2 linked regions of the Callithrix jacchus genome follow. The protein of the gene in region 2 binds, or shares a complex with, the protein of the main gene of each other region. Links are inferred from orthologs where the notes say so. Each region holds a gene or a part of one and is shown on either strand. Other genes may lie near its edges. The genes, in order: SMARCA2 and ARID1A.

The links.
Region 1: ARID1A (region 2) and SMARCA2 share a complex: the UniProt entries of both Homo sapiens proteins name them as parts of the neuron-specific chromatin remodeling complex. The link is inferred for Callithrix jacchus from reciprocal best matches to the Homo sapiens genes ARID1A and SMARCA2.

What each region holds. Positions count from the first base shown.
Region 1 is NC_133502.1:108,560,763-108,567,926, reverse strand, and holds part of SMARCA2 (SWI/SNF-related matrix-associated actin-dependent regulator of chromatin subfamily A member 2), read right to left. Parts: intron 6,621-7,164; coding exon 6,554-6,620; intron 5,884-6,553; coding exon 5,773-5,883; intron 3,201-5,772; coding exon 2,958-3,200; intron 1,512-2,957; coding exon 1,398-1,511; intron 1-1,397. UniProt on the Homo sapiens protein: ATPase involved in transcriptional activation and repression of select genes by chromatin remodeling (alteration of DNA-nucleosome topology).
Region 2 is NC_133508.1:63,424,173-63,431,336, forward strand, and holds part of ARID1A (AT-rich interactive domain-containing protein 1A), read left to right. Parts: intron 1-2,226; coding exon 2,227-2,434; intron 2,435-3,567; coding exon 3,568-3,700; intron 3,701-3,881; coding exon 3,882-4,057; intron 4,058-4,421; coding exon 4,422-4,572; intron 4,573-4,653; coding exon 4,654-4,788; intron 4,789-4,872; coding exon 4,873-4,969; intron 4,970-5,388; coding exon 5,389-6,280; intron 6,281-6,626; coding exon 6,627-6,757; intron 6,758-7,164. UniProt on the Homo sapiens protein: Involved in transcriptional activation and repression of select genes by chromatin remodeling (alteration of DNA-nucleosome topology).

The sequences.
Region 1 (7,164 bases), on a different chromosome or scaffold from region 2:
TTTTAAAATCTATATTAGCCAGTCTTAGAAATGAATGAACAAGATCAAGAAGTTTTGCGGAATGAATAAACGAAGGGCTTCATTTTTTATACCTCTTCTAAAGAAAAAAAATTATGAGATAAATTAAAAGATTTAACATTTCATCGCTACCACTTGCAGAATCACTGTAACTGTATGCTAGGAAGTAATTCAAGGCAGCCACATGACCATTATGCTCATTCACCAGTTAATCTACTCAGTAACTAAACACCATCATGAACAGAAAAGGTGCTACCCAGAGGCCAAGACCACGGGAAATCAGAGGGAATATCAACAACATTCTACATCCAAAATGCATTCACCAGCAGAATGAAATACTTAAATACTTATACTTTCACTGAGATATGCATGGCATGAAAATCATTTTTATTTTTAATTTTTTTCCTGACTGTCAATGCATAAAGGATTAGGGAATAAAAATCTCTCTTAACAAAGTGATCAACTTTGTACACCATCTTGACAACTCCCACTTACAAATGAACAGGATGAACCAATCTGTCCAAAAATAGAGTCATTACCCAGAAAAACCACAATCATGCAAAAAAAAGACATTTCAGAATTGGCTCTTCCAAAGAAAAAACTCAAAGCAAAATATCTCATGCAACAAATAGTATACAGTGCTAAACTATCTTTAAGAGAATGAAACTTAGAATTTAAATATGCATGGTTCCAAAACATGATCAGAAACATAGTAAACTAATACTCAAATCCAACCCCAAAATATGGAGCTAAGGGCTCAAAAGGGGTTCTAAAGTACTGCAAACTAAGTTTCCAACAGTCAGTCTGAAAAACACTGGCTTAAAATGTTCGCAGGAACTTAATTTTTATGGCACAGAACAAAACCAATGACCCTGAACAATTACATGATGTGTCTGTAATTTACAGGAATTCTATTTTTGCACTTACTGTCAGAATGGTGACATCACAAACATCAAATGTTAAATAAATTTCTAGAAAACCTGCAAATGTTTACCACACCCTTGAATGATGATACAAGTCCCAAAGTCAAATCTTCCTTTCACTTATAAGCAGAACAATTCTACAGTGCCTGCAACAGTGAACTCAATGAGGTCAGTAACTTAAAAAAAAAAAATCTAAAATTAAAACATAAATGAGACTCAATGAATTTGATAATTTTATAAAATCGGCTCGCAAGTTTTTGTAAAACAGGCTGAAAATGCTATAATTTCCCTTCTCTCTCTAGCCCTACCAAACAAAAAAGCACTTTAAGATATTTTCAAGACACTTATAACCACAATATGAGCCTGCTGTTTAAGAAACACAATTTCGGAGGCAGATACTTCAAATGTATTTGCTGGAGAAAAAAAAACCTCACAACTTTTGATTGTGCCACATACTTTTTCTGGAAGCTGGGATTCAACTTCTTTCTTCAGTCTCCTTAGTAAAAATGGTCTTAATACCTTATGCAGACGTCTGATGATCAATATAGTTTCTTCTTCATTTAAGTCCACCTATAAGAGAGGCTTATATAAATTTGATTTTTTTAAGAAAAGGATAAAAAAAAAAAGGACATTTCATACCATAAAGCTTTATGTTACATTTATGTGTTTCAATACATGATTGAAATTTTACATGCATTAAATCCAGGTTTATGTCTGTTATACCCACCTCTGAATTACCTTTCCACCTGCCTACCAAGCAGTAATAAAATTACCTCTAAATAGGTGTCTTTGTCTTAATGCTGAGTTCTGTGGAAAAGAGCCCAGAAGCTACCAGTTTTCTATCAGTGGTGTCAACAGCCCCACATTGTATGTGGTATCACTGATGATGAAGGTGACAGAATGAGAGAAGGGGGGCAATAAGTTGATATGTTTCCGATTTAAAGGGGCAGCCTTAAATTAGGCTCTTCATCTTGGTTGTTTCAGTCACAGAAAAATACTAAAGGAACAGAGGTTTGAACATATAAAGAAGAGGATCAAAAGTAGAGTCTATCCAGTTTATGTTGGTGGCCCTGTAAGTCCCTCTAACTTCACTCCTTTCCTTTTCTCAGCCCTCTCTAGTTCAACTTTAGTCCTTTTTATAGATTTCCCAGCTTTCTCTTTCACCTTCTCCTACTAACCTCTAGGGGGCAGAGTTGATTGAGACTACTTTCTACAAATTGGCAAGCCAGTGAGTTAACTATTGACAGGGGGCCCAGGTGCCTCAAAATTAAAGGGCCAAACAATTCAAACCAAAATTTTGCTAAAGCATTTTTAGTGGCCTTTCATTCCTACGAATGAGGAACCTCTATGAAAATGACATGTGCCCATTTCTTTTCTTGCAATGGCCCATGTCTTGCTTTCACAAATGAGCTCTTAAGACAGTGGAAGGAACGGTAAGAAATTTGAAAACAAATGGCTACTCCAGGAAGACTTTTTATTTACACACAAAACTGAAACTCACACTAAAACCTAAAAAAAAGAAATAGAAAAAAGGTCTGCAGAAAATTAGTGAAAACTAGTTCTGTTTTACACACAAACTCTTTATGTGGAAATATTTTAAAGGGAACTTCCAAGCTTATAACAAGGAAAGATTTGTTTTAAAGCTTGTATTTAGTTGGTTAATTTGGTCTGCTTAAATTAATTCAGCAAAATATCTCCATGTTCATCCCTCCCTGTGACCCACTGCAGTTAAGCATTCCACCGGTCAGGACCCTTTTCTGGTAGCCTGGTAAACATGCTGGCAAAAGACAAAGGGGTTAGATGCCCCCAGTACCACTAGACCCATTTTCCCAGGAGGGGAAAATAACCCTGACAGAAGACCACGTCCACCCATTGATGGGTTTCATAAACTATGCAACACTGTCAACCACCCTGCAGGTGTTCTGTGGCTGTAATGTTCTCAGCTTTAGGGCCTTTCATTTCATTTCATTGTCATGTAGTGGAAAATAGTGGAAAAAACAAAAGTCAGACCAGTACCCTTTCACCAGTCATGGCAAATGGAGCATTAAACCATTGTTCGAAAGTGCTGCAGCTCTTAAAAATTGTGGGGAGGAGGAAGTTGAGGAGGGCCCAGAGTTCAGGGAGTTTATTCTGCAGCGGGGTCCCAGTCAAGAGGATCCTTCTGGGGGCCACGTAGTGAGTGTTCAAGACCTGAGTCAGCTTGCAGTGGTGATTCTTCATTCGGTGGCCTTCATCCACTATCATGTATTTCCACCGAATCTGTAACACAAGAGAAAGGATGGACATGTGATAAGCAAGGGAAAATAACAACTATTTCCCACAGGCAAGTGGTGGTGTGGAAAACCAAAGAACCCATCCTTGGTACATGATATGCTATGATTATCTTTAAGACAAGAGAATCTCAACAATGTCCCATGCCTGATAGGCCACATAAGACATCCTGTAATAACAGTGTTGAAGCAACAATGTTCCTTACCGACCATGTAATTCCAAATCAACTTCTTACAAAGAAGGAAATTTGGGCCCAGGATGATATGCTTGTTCCTACATGTGGATTGTGCATCTCCTCATCCAACGCCCCTTCTATTAATACTGTATCATGACAGCTATCCCACATTTCATGGTCATGCTACCTCTGCTCACAACAGGCACAGAATACAGGTACCCACTTGAAGCAGAAGTTAATGACCGATTTTTCCAAGATGGCCCTAGCAGGTTCTATAACTGAGATATTCTTGGCTCCATGCCTTCTTTTCTATTAGCCTGGCTGGTTACTACCTTTAGGGCTTGGCTCAGAAGTGTGTTTTGTTTTGTTTGGACTGGTTGCTAACATTTAAAAGTTGGACTATTTCACATAAAATCTATACATACAGCTTTTCAAAAATTAGTTCTGACAACCAAACTCCCTCAATCCATGCACATTCCTTACCTGTCAGATCTAGGACCCCTGTTTTATCTAAAATAAAAGGATCTATTCACTGGCAGAAAGGGCAATACAAAAATATAATTCCTCTATTTATGCCAAAACTGCAGAATTAAATACAGCAAACTTCCCCAACGTGACTATCGCTTAAAACATCTAGAAAGCTTACATGGCCCAGTCCTCCTTCCCGTCTACACAGTTCCCTTCCTCTCTCATAACTTACCCTTCAGTCCTCTTAAGAGTCAGTTTTTTAAGGTGAGAACAATGAGGAATGTTCCACTAAGCCTATCCATTCTCTACAAAACAGTGGCAATGGCCAAGAAAAACATCTGGTGCTCAGATGTCCCCAGATCCTGCTGCAAAGCTCCTAGAGAGAGAAGTGAGATGAGGAAAGTATTCTATACAGTCCTTGTCTTCCTCATTAGAAGCAGCAGATATGCCAGGGGAAAAGGTATAAAATCAGTCAGGCTGGGATGTACAGGTTTAAAAAAAAAAAACTACCCCATTTTTTTTTCCTTCCTCCACAACCTCTAAGAAAAGTGTTTAAGGATAATTAAAGCTGTACAATCAACTACCTCAAACTTACCAATAGCATGAAAAGAGGCAAGCAGACAAAACATATACAAATCTTCTAAATCTACTTTCCTGCCTAATTTAGCTTACAAAATAATAAGGAATCAGAGGCCTTTGATTTTTCTATTGGGTCTACTACTAATTAGGTCTTCCACTTGGAAAAAATTACTACCCCTTTCCCTAGCTCCATTTCTCCGGTAACAAACAAAAGCAGTGCATCTCGTTATCAGGCGTCTCCAATGAATCTTGAAATACATATGCAAAAGACACAATACGAATTTTTTAAAAAGGATCCCAAATGTACAAACACATTCCCATAGTAATATTGAAAACACATCATTTCTGACACTGCCAAATTCCTCTCTGAGTGTGAGGAGGTGGAACATAGCACTGTTGCCAGTGCCATCTCAATTATTAAACCTCCCCTGGGAGCAAATTTCCTTTTTGTTATTTCCTATGATGCCATGAAGGGAACTCTCAGTTCCCAGAGCAAGAGTTTAATGCAGAGAAAGAACAGACCCCAGAAATAGAGATTCTGTTCAATTTTGGACATAACTTAGTTTCAGATTAGAGTGCTTTCAAAACACCATGGGGTAAAAAAAATTACTAGAGAAAAAAAATTGAGTTTTCATTATTTGTTCCATGAAAGACGGTACTTTCCATCATTCTACACGAACGTATTAGAAGACAAGATGATATAAATGAGGAGAAAAGTTACTACTTTGTGGCTAAAGGACAACTGAGGACATTCAAATTAGGAGACATATTAGTCACAGAAACACCTCTTTCTCAGTTCCAAATAAATAGTCACAGAAACAGCCTTGAGAAATTCCAACAATGATAGTCTATTATTTCACCAGGAAAAACCTGAAACAATGCTACCACAAAAGCCACGGCTTGGATAAATGTTCATATGGTAGAGACCATATGGAGAGGTGCCTGGCTCATCTTCGGAGAGACAAAGGCACAAGAGGAATGAAGTTACTGACAATATCTCAGGGCAACAAAAGCAATTCTTTCTTTCCAGAGCATGTTCAAAGCTGTTGGAGAGAAAGAGTTGAAGAAGGAACCAGATGAATTTTTTTAAAGAGATGTAAACTCATTAACTAGGAAAGGATACGTAGGAGCTGCCCCAGGATCAATCATACACACACACACACACACACACACACACACACACACACACACAGCATGCATGAAATCAAATCTATGACCAAAATATACGAAACTCTGAAAAAATAAAGAAAGGGACAATTATACTACTGATGTGGGCAATACTTCACATTTCAGTGTGATGGTCCATATTAAAGACAAAATAGTTTTTTTAAAACATACCTTTGCAAGAATGTGCTTGTCTTTTATAATATACTCATAAGTAGTCAAGAGGACATTGAATTTGCCACTCCGTAGCTGGGGGACAAGGGAGCGACGCATGGCAGGAGTACCCTAAAGGAAAGAAAAAGATATATGCATGATCCAATGGACGTAGATGTGCATTTTTTTCTCACTATTCATAGCTTAATGATACCAGACATGTGACTGAATAATGTATAGCACACATTCTCATAGACTGATCTATTATATACGAGAAAGTCTTGGGTAAACTGCACACATCTTGACCCTTTTCAGATCTTTTTTAGAAAGCTTTTCCTACCAAAGACAGAGGGAAGGCAAAGAGAAATGGAAATGACAGTGACTTTGTGGTAGTAGAGAACCCGCTGCTCTGCTAAAAGGCTCCACTTCTACTGGGAAAGTGGAGCAGGCAGGCCGGGCACCCGGGTAACCGCCTGGCTGTGCAGGAGCAGTCGGCACAGTAGCAGCCCACAGTGAGCCAGTCAGCAGCACACAGAATGTGCGGTATTTGTCATTTGTATTACTCTCATCAGAAACCTTGCAATATGATAATTAACAATTTTCTTCTGGATTTCACTATCTGAAAGTAATTATGGTTTATTACAGTAATCTTCTTGGGATGATTAACTCTCACGGTTTAGTACATGATGTACATGACAAAACTTTACAACCAAATACAGTTCACAGATGTGCATATGGAATGAAGAAAACAGGGTCTATTTTTTGCTTTTCCACATTTATATATAAATACAGCATTCCAAACCTTGTAAGAAATTTTCACCACAGAAGGAGCCCATTTGTCAAATTCATATGTCCAGTTAGATAGAGTCCTATGGAACAAAAAAAATACAGAAAAAAGACATTTGTATAAAAATCAATGGTTAAAAAGATGTTATTCATTTTCAGGCCTCACCTTGAAAGGGGGTACAGAATATAATGTATCTCAACAACATATTTATTTTAAAGTTGTGGAAATAAGAGATAAGTTCAAAATAAACTGTCACAAAACACGACAAGTTTGTCTGTGGTTCATAAAAAAAATCTTATAAGATAAAAACTAAAGAATACATAAATATAGAGAGCAAAAACTAAATGTTAATAAGATATTGAAAAAGAGCAATTGCCAGAATGATTTTGGGAATCTTTATAAACAGCTATATAAGTTCAGAAAAAAGTTGAGTCAAGAAAAAGAAATTACAAAATCACATGAAAATATTAAATAAATATGTCAAGAGGGAACAGGGGAAGAAATACTGAATGACTTTTATTTAAAGCCCCCAGAGTCACTGCATATATGATTCAGAACATTGAAAATATAGATTAAATGCAAAAGATGCCTAAATATTATAGATACAGATAATTCATACAAAAGGG
Region 2 (7,164 bases):
ACTATGCCTTGTGGACTTTCCTCCTGTGCGTGTTCTGTAGTCACCAGACCAGAAGCCTGCTGTTGGATCAGTTTGTGGCTGAGCTCAGGGAGGCGTGGCAGGGAGGGACTTACTCCAAACCTTCTAAACCAGAAGAGGAAAACAGCTGTCACCAGCAGAAAAGAAAGTGATTGGAATGAAGCCAGCCAACAGTCAGTTATGAATTCCTTCTCCCTTTAGGCTTTATTCCCCTCCCCCACAAAGGAAAACAAAACAAAACAAGACACGTGCGTACTGCCACAAAACTGGCATGAGAAGCAAAGCCACAAAAGGCTTCTGAGGTGGCTCCATGTATATTCCTGCCATTCTGCCTGATACTCAGATCGCATAGTCAAGCCTTCCCTGCCTATAGGGAAAGGGAGCATTGAGTTAGTTTCACTCACTTTTCATTGGGTGGGCTTCAGGGTTCACTGAACCTAGGAAGAGTTACAGAGAGAATCCTGATGCCTGAGCCTGTCTTCCAAATTGCATAAGGATGCAAACCTTTAAAATGCCATGATTATAATCAAACTTTTATAAAAACAGTGATAAATCAGTGGCAAAAGCGTATTATTTATAAGTTAGTTTGTGAAGACTCCCAGAAAGCAAAGATGAATCTTCAGCTTATCTAAAGGATTAGTAGGGTTTAGGTGGAAGGAGTGGCCAACCCAGTAGACTGGCCAGATGACATAGAGATGGGAGTCTGGATATTTCCCCCAAGGCCATCTCCAACCATGAAGACTTAGCTCACCCACTCTAGAAAGTATTCCTATGCACCTCTGCCCCATCTAGGTTGTCCCCCTCTGTGGCTCTCTAAACTCCTCTCTGGTATCATGGGTACCATATCAGCAGACATTTTAACCTATTGAACTTCCTTTGTGTATAGGGACTGGAAAATCCTTGTTCCCAGGCCTTGGGACAGGCTTACCATATGGTAAATGAATAAGCATAAGAATACATGAAGAAGAAGACCTGTCCAGCTAGAGCAGAAAGACTAATTGTAAGGAGCATCTAGGAAATGGGCTTGGTCAGTGTGCCCTGAAGCTGAGGGAAGGAGGCAAAACTGTAGGTTGGCTGCTGGGGAGGTACAAAAGTCATAAGGCGGCCCTGGGCGGGGTGCAGTGGCTCACACCTGTAATCCTAGCACTTTGGGAGGCCGAGATGGTTGAATCACCTGAGGTCAGGATTTAAGACCAGCCTGACCAACATGGCAAAACCCTGTCTCTACTAAAAATACAAAAATTAGTGGGGCGTGGTAAACCAGGCGCCTATAGTCCCACTACTTGGGAGGCTGAGGCAGGGGGATCACTTGAACCCAGGAGGCAGAGGTTGCAGTGAGCCAAAATGGCACCACTACACTCCAGCCTGGATGACAAAGTGAGACTCTTTAAATAAATAAATAAGGCGCTGAACATCTGGACAATTAGGACAGTGACTGATGAGGTAAAGGGACCTGTGGTTGTTTGTCACTGAGATATGTAGGAGAGCAGTGGCACAAGAATGTCAAATTTGCAGAGAGTGCCATGCCAAGAAAAAAAATCAGATGTGTAAATCCCCAGTTTGACAAAGCAAGTCAAGCAGGGTAGTCATTGATACTATCACAAGTCTCCATTTTATAAAATGTTAGTTTTTAGTAGTACATTTAAAATAGGATTTAGGGCCAGGTGCAGTGGCTCAAGCTTGTAATCCCAGCACTTTGAGAGTCTGAGGAGGGCAGATGACTTGAGGTGAGGAGGGCAGATCACTTGAGGCCAGGAGTTTGAGACCAGCCTGGCCAACATGGTGAAATGCTGTCTCTACTAAAAATACAAAAATTAGCCAGGTGTGGTGGTGCACTCCTGTAATCCCAGCTACTTGGGAGGCTGAGGTAAGAGTATCGCTTGAGCCCGGGAGGCAGAAATTGCAGCAAGTTAAGCTCGTGCCACTGCATTCCAGCCTAGGCGACAGAGCGAGATTTATTTTTTCTGTCTCAGAAAAAGTAGGGTTTAAATAGGCAGATGATTTGTACACCATTTTTCGGCAGTATACTAAAAAACTGGATTTAACACTTGTTGTGAACTATCCACCAAGCAAGATTAACTTTTGTAATTACCTAAGAACTGTGATTCTACAAAAATGAATTACCTTGCAGCCTGATAGGGCTTGTGGCTTATGGACAGGAAAACCAGGCAGGAGATATACCCCGACTCTTGTGGTTTGGTTATACAGGTCAACAAGAACAAAAAATGGCGGGAACTTGCAACAAACCTCAATGTGGGCACATCAAGCAGTGCTGCCAGCTCCTTGAAAAAGCAGTATATCCAGTGTCTCTATGCCTTTGAGTGCAAGATTGAACGGGGAGAAGATCCTCCCCCAGACATCTTTGCAGCTGCCGATTCCAAGAAGTCCCAGCCCAAGATCCAGCCTCCCTCTCCTGGTAAGGATGGGGTCAGCAGCCCCACTAAGGCTGAGAGGGCCTACTGCACCTGCCTCCAGCAGGATATGCCAAGGATCTGTGCTCTTGCCCTACCACAGGTCTTAACAGGTTGGCTGAATAGAGAGTGGGCAGTGGAAACTTCCCTGGGAGGTACTCTTCAGCAGCCCTTAAATTTTAATTTTTGTTGTGCACCTGGCAACTTGCCAAATGTTTGTAAACTGGTGAATGGGAGGGGCACAAGAAGAGTGGGGAAACTGACAAATGGCAGCAAAGCAGGGCCATCTGGAAGCTTTGGCCCATTGATGTCAGCACCTTAGAATGCAGCTCACACTAGAGCCCTGAATTCCCCAGGGAGCTGAGATAGTAATGAATGAGGAGGGAGTGGGGAAGGGATATGAATGGAACTCTCTGATGGGAGTGCCTCTGCCTACCCTCCATTCTGAGAGGAGGCTGAGACCTAGGGCGAGCCTGGGGAGGAAAGAAGGCCAGGGTGCCTGGAAGGTGGGTGTAAACACATGTGCCCTGGTGTTGACCTCTGAGGGTGTAATGAGTGCCTGAGATGACTCATCAGCTGGGGAGGCCTCAGCAGTGGGATATCTACTGCTGGGAATGGTAACTATTGGAAACATTAAATTACTAGTAGTTTTGTGCTTATCAGCTTAGAAGAACATTTGAACTTGAGGGATGACACTATGCTGGATGCTTTAGAACAGGAGCTCTCCTAGGCTCCTAAAATGCATCCCAGATTTGGATTCCACCCTACCCAGGATTTGGGAGGTTCTGACTGGAGCTCCTGCACCAGCATTACAGGATTTAATAGGTTAGACAAGGTCCTTGGAGAAGTGAAGAGAAATAGCCAGGGAAGCTGGCAGTGACTCAAGGAATCACCAGCATAGTGATGTCATGGCCGCATCACTTCTCTTCTCTACATGTAAAACAAAAAGAGCTACAAAACCCTCAAATTTCCTTCTTTATGACCTGGATATTGCAGATCTTCTGATAAGAATGGTGATCACGCTTGAAAGGCCTTAGGAAGAACTTTCTCAAAGAGATTCTGGGTCATTCATGTGTTTTTGTGAGAGTTAAACACTTCCATACCAAGCAAACTGCTCAACTTGCTTCTCTGTCCACAGCGGGATCAGGATCTATGCAGGGGCCCCAGACTCCTCAGTCAACCAGCAGTTCCATGGCAGAAGGAGGAGACTTAAAGCCACCAACTCCAGCATCCACACCACACAGTCAGATCCCTCCCTTGCCAGGCATGAGGTAAGGCCAAGAGCAGAGGTGGATGGTTGAGGGGATGGTTGGAGATAAGTGCATGGGAACTCCTTTGCAGCCCAAGGGTGGTCCCTGCCTCTGCCTTCTCAGCCAGTGACTCCTGCGTGTCCTGTGTTATATTGGAGGAATTGGTCTATCTGGGGTTTAATTGATTTTCCTCACTCTGGAGCAGGAGCAATTCGGTTGGGATCCAGGATGCCTTTAATGATGGAAGTGACTCCACATTCCAGAAGCGGAATTCCATGACTCCAAACCCTGGGTATCAGCCCAGTATGAATACCTCTGACATGATGGGGCGCATGTCCTATGAGCCAAATAAGGATCCTTATGGCAGCATGAGGAAAGGTGACTGATCTGATTGCTATTGAACTTGTACTCTTAAAGACAGGGCCAGTGAAATGGGGGAAAATCTTGAGTGATTCAGGGTTCTTGTGGAGCCAATCTCTGAGATAATGCATTTCCTGTCCTAACTACCCCTCTTCATCCCTACCTCCTTTGTCTCTTCCCTGGCCTCACCTTGACATCCCTTAACAAGTACATGCTTTTTGCTGGTTGGGGCATCTTTAGAACTCTGTTTTGAACTTGTCTGGAAAACAGTGAGATCAAACCTGAACTCTGAAAAGGGCCTGGGTCTTTGGAGCAGGCAAAGTGTAGATTACTAGGCTTGCCAACTTGCCAGTTTGTTCACTGCCTGCCTTTATACACTCAGCTCCAGGGAGTGATCCCTTCATGTCCTCAGGGCAGGGCCCCAACGGCGGGATGGGTGACCCCTACAGCCGTGCTGCCGGCCCTGGTCTTGGAAATGTGGCAATGGGACCACGACAGCACTATCCCTATGGAGGTCCTTATGACAGAGTGAGGTAAGCATGGCACCAGCTCCTATCCATCCCCCAGCACCCAGAGCTATAGTGGGCTCAATCCACCTCTCCAATTTTCTTTAGGACGGAGCCTGGAATAGGGCCTGAGGGAAACATGGGCACTGGGGCCCCACAACCGAATCTCATGCCTTCTAACCCAGACTCGGGGATGTATTCTCCTAGCCGCTACCCCCCACAGCAGCAGCAGCAGCAGCAACGGTGAGTAAAGCCTGCTCCCAGTGCTGCTGTGACTCAGACTTTGCCACTGCCCACCCTGATCATGTGTTTCTTTGCCTCCTGTAGACATGATTCCTATGGCAATCAGTTTTCCACCCAAGGCACCCCTTCTGGCAGCCCCTTCCCCAGCCAACAGACCACAATGTATCCACAGCAGCAGCAGGTGAGGAGGGTAGCTGGGAATGGACTAGCATGTAGATTCCCTTTGAAAGATAGTTACTAATGTGTTAAAGTCTAAGAAGCTCACTTTAAGTATTTTGGCATTCTTCTCTCACCTGACTGGCCATTTGGGCCCAAAGAGCCAAGTCCTCGATCTCTTCTGTTTGGAGCTGGAAAGGGCTAGAAATAGATCTTATTTTGATTTTTAGGTTTTATATATTTTTCTACTTAGAGCAAGGGAGGGGAAGAAAGAGTGGTGGTTGCTTTTGGAAACAACTTAAAAAGACAGTTTGTTAAGGTGATTCCTTTGTTTCCTTGGAGTCTGTGTCCACCATTCATTTGGTTGTAGCCATCTTGGCATCTGTGGGCTTTATGTCTCTGAGTGCAGAGCATTAACTTGTCCTCTGCTTCTCTCTGCCTTAGAATTACAAGCGGCCAATGGATGGCACATATGGCCCTCCTGCTAAGCGGCATGAAGGGGAGATGTACAGTGTGCCATACAGCACTGGGCAGGGGCAGCCTCAGCAGCAGCAGTTGCCCCCAGCCCAGCCCCAGCCTGCCAGCCAGCAACAAGCTGCCCAGCCTTCCCCTCAGCAAGATGTATACAACCAGTATGGCAATGCCTATCCTGCCACTGCCACTGCTGCTACTGAGCGCCGACCAGCAGGCGGCCCCCAGAACCAATTTCCATTCCAGTTTGGCCGAGACCGTGTCTCTGCACCCCCTGGCACCAGTGCCCAGCAAAACATGCCACCGCAAATGATGGGCGGCCCCATACAGGCATCAGCTGAGGTTGCTCAGCAAGGCACTATGTGGCAGGGGCGTAATGACATGACCTATAATTATGCCAACAGGCAGAGCACGGGCTCTGCCCCCCAGGGCCCCGCCTATCATGGCGTGAACCGAACAGATGAAATGCTGCACACAGATCAGAGGGCCAATCATGAAGGCCCATGGCCTTCGCATGGCACACGCCAGCCCCCATATGGTTCCTCTGCTCCCGTGCCCCCCATGACAAGGCCCCCTCCATCTAACTACCAGCCCCCACCAAGCATGCAGAATCACATTCCTCAGGTATCAAGCCCTGCTCCCCTGCCCCGGCCAATGGAGAACCGTACCTCTCCTAGCAAGTCTCCATTCCTGCACTCTGGGATGAAAATGCAGAAGGCAGGTCCCCCAGTGCCTGCCTCACACATAGCACCTGCCCCTGTGCAGCCCCCCATGATTCGGCGGGATATCACCTTCCCACCTGGCTCTGTTGAAGCCACACAGCCTGTGTTGAAGCAGAGGAGGCGGCTCACAATGAAAGACATTGGTAAGGAGACCTCCCTGATTGGGTTGCCTAATCTGCCCCTTTTTGTCTTGTCCATTGTTCCCTCCACCTTAATATTCTGGTCCAGTGTTGACAAAAATAGAACCAAAGAACTTTGGAAAAGGAAGAAATAAGCCAACTAAAGGTTTTCCTTCAAAACATTGCCATACAATGACGTCCTAGACAGATAGTTTAGAAGCCACGAGGGGCTGGTATGTGTCATCTCCCAGACAGGAACTGCCTTCCACTTTGTGTTAATCTTCAGAGTAGCCTGACTGATGGGGCAGCCCTGGGGGTGCCTTCAGCCAGCCTGGGCTTGGTGGATGGACGACATGGAGGTTTATTTCAGGAACCCCGGAGGCATGGCGGGTAATGATGTCCCTCAAGTCTGGTCTCCTGGCTGAGAGCACATGGGCATTAGATACCATTAACATCTTGCTATATGATGACAACAGCATCATGACCTTCAACCTCAGTCAGGTGAGTACCAGTGCTTCGGGAAGATTGAGAGCATTTGGGATCTTAGTGTAAACAATGGGAATGTGTCATCCTTAGCCACCTTGATATTTCTCTCTCGTAGGTATCTTCCGTGCCAGTACTTTGCTTCCTTTGCTTCTGGGCACAGGCCCAGGATCTTGAGAATAATGATAATTTGTTTTAGGTATCATTACGTTGATGCTTTAACAAAGGATTGACTTCAAAGGGAATTTGGGAGACACTTTGTAGTATTAGTAAGAAAGCAGATTCTATTGATGCCAGTGGGGACACCATATTTTCTAGAAGAATCTGGTGGGGTTTTTTTTGTTTTTTTTTTTTTAATCGAGATGAGGTCTCACTATGTTGCCCAGGCTCATGAACTCCTGAGTTGAAGTGATCCTCCCAAAGGG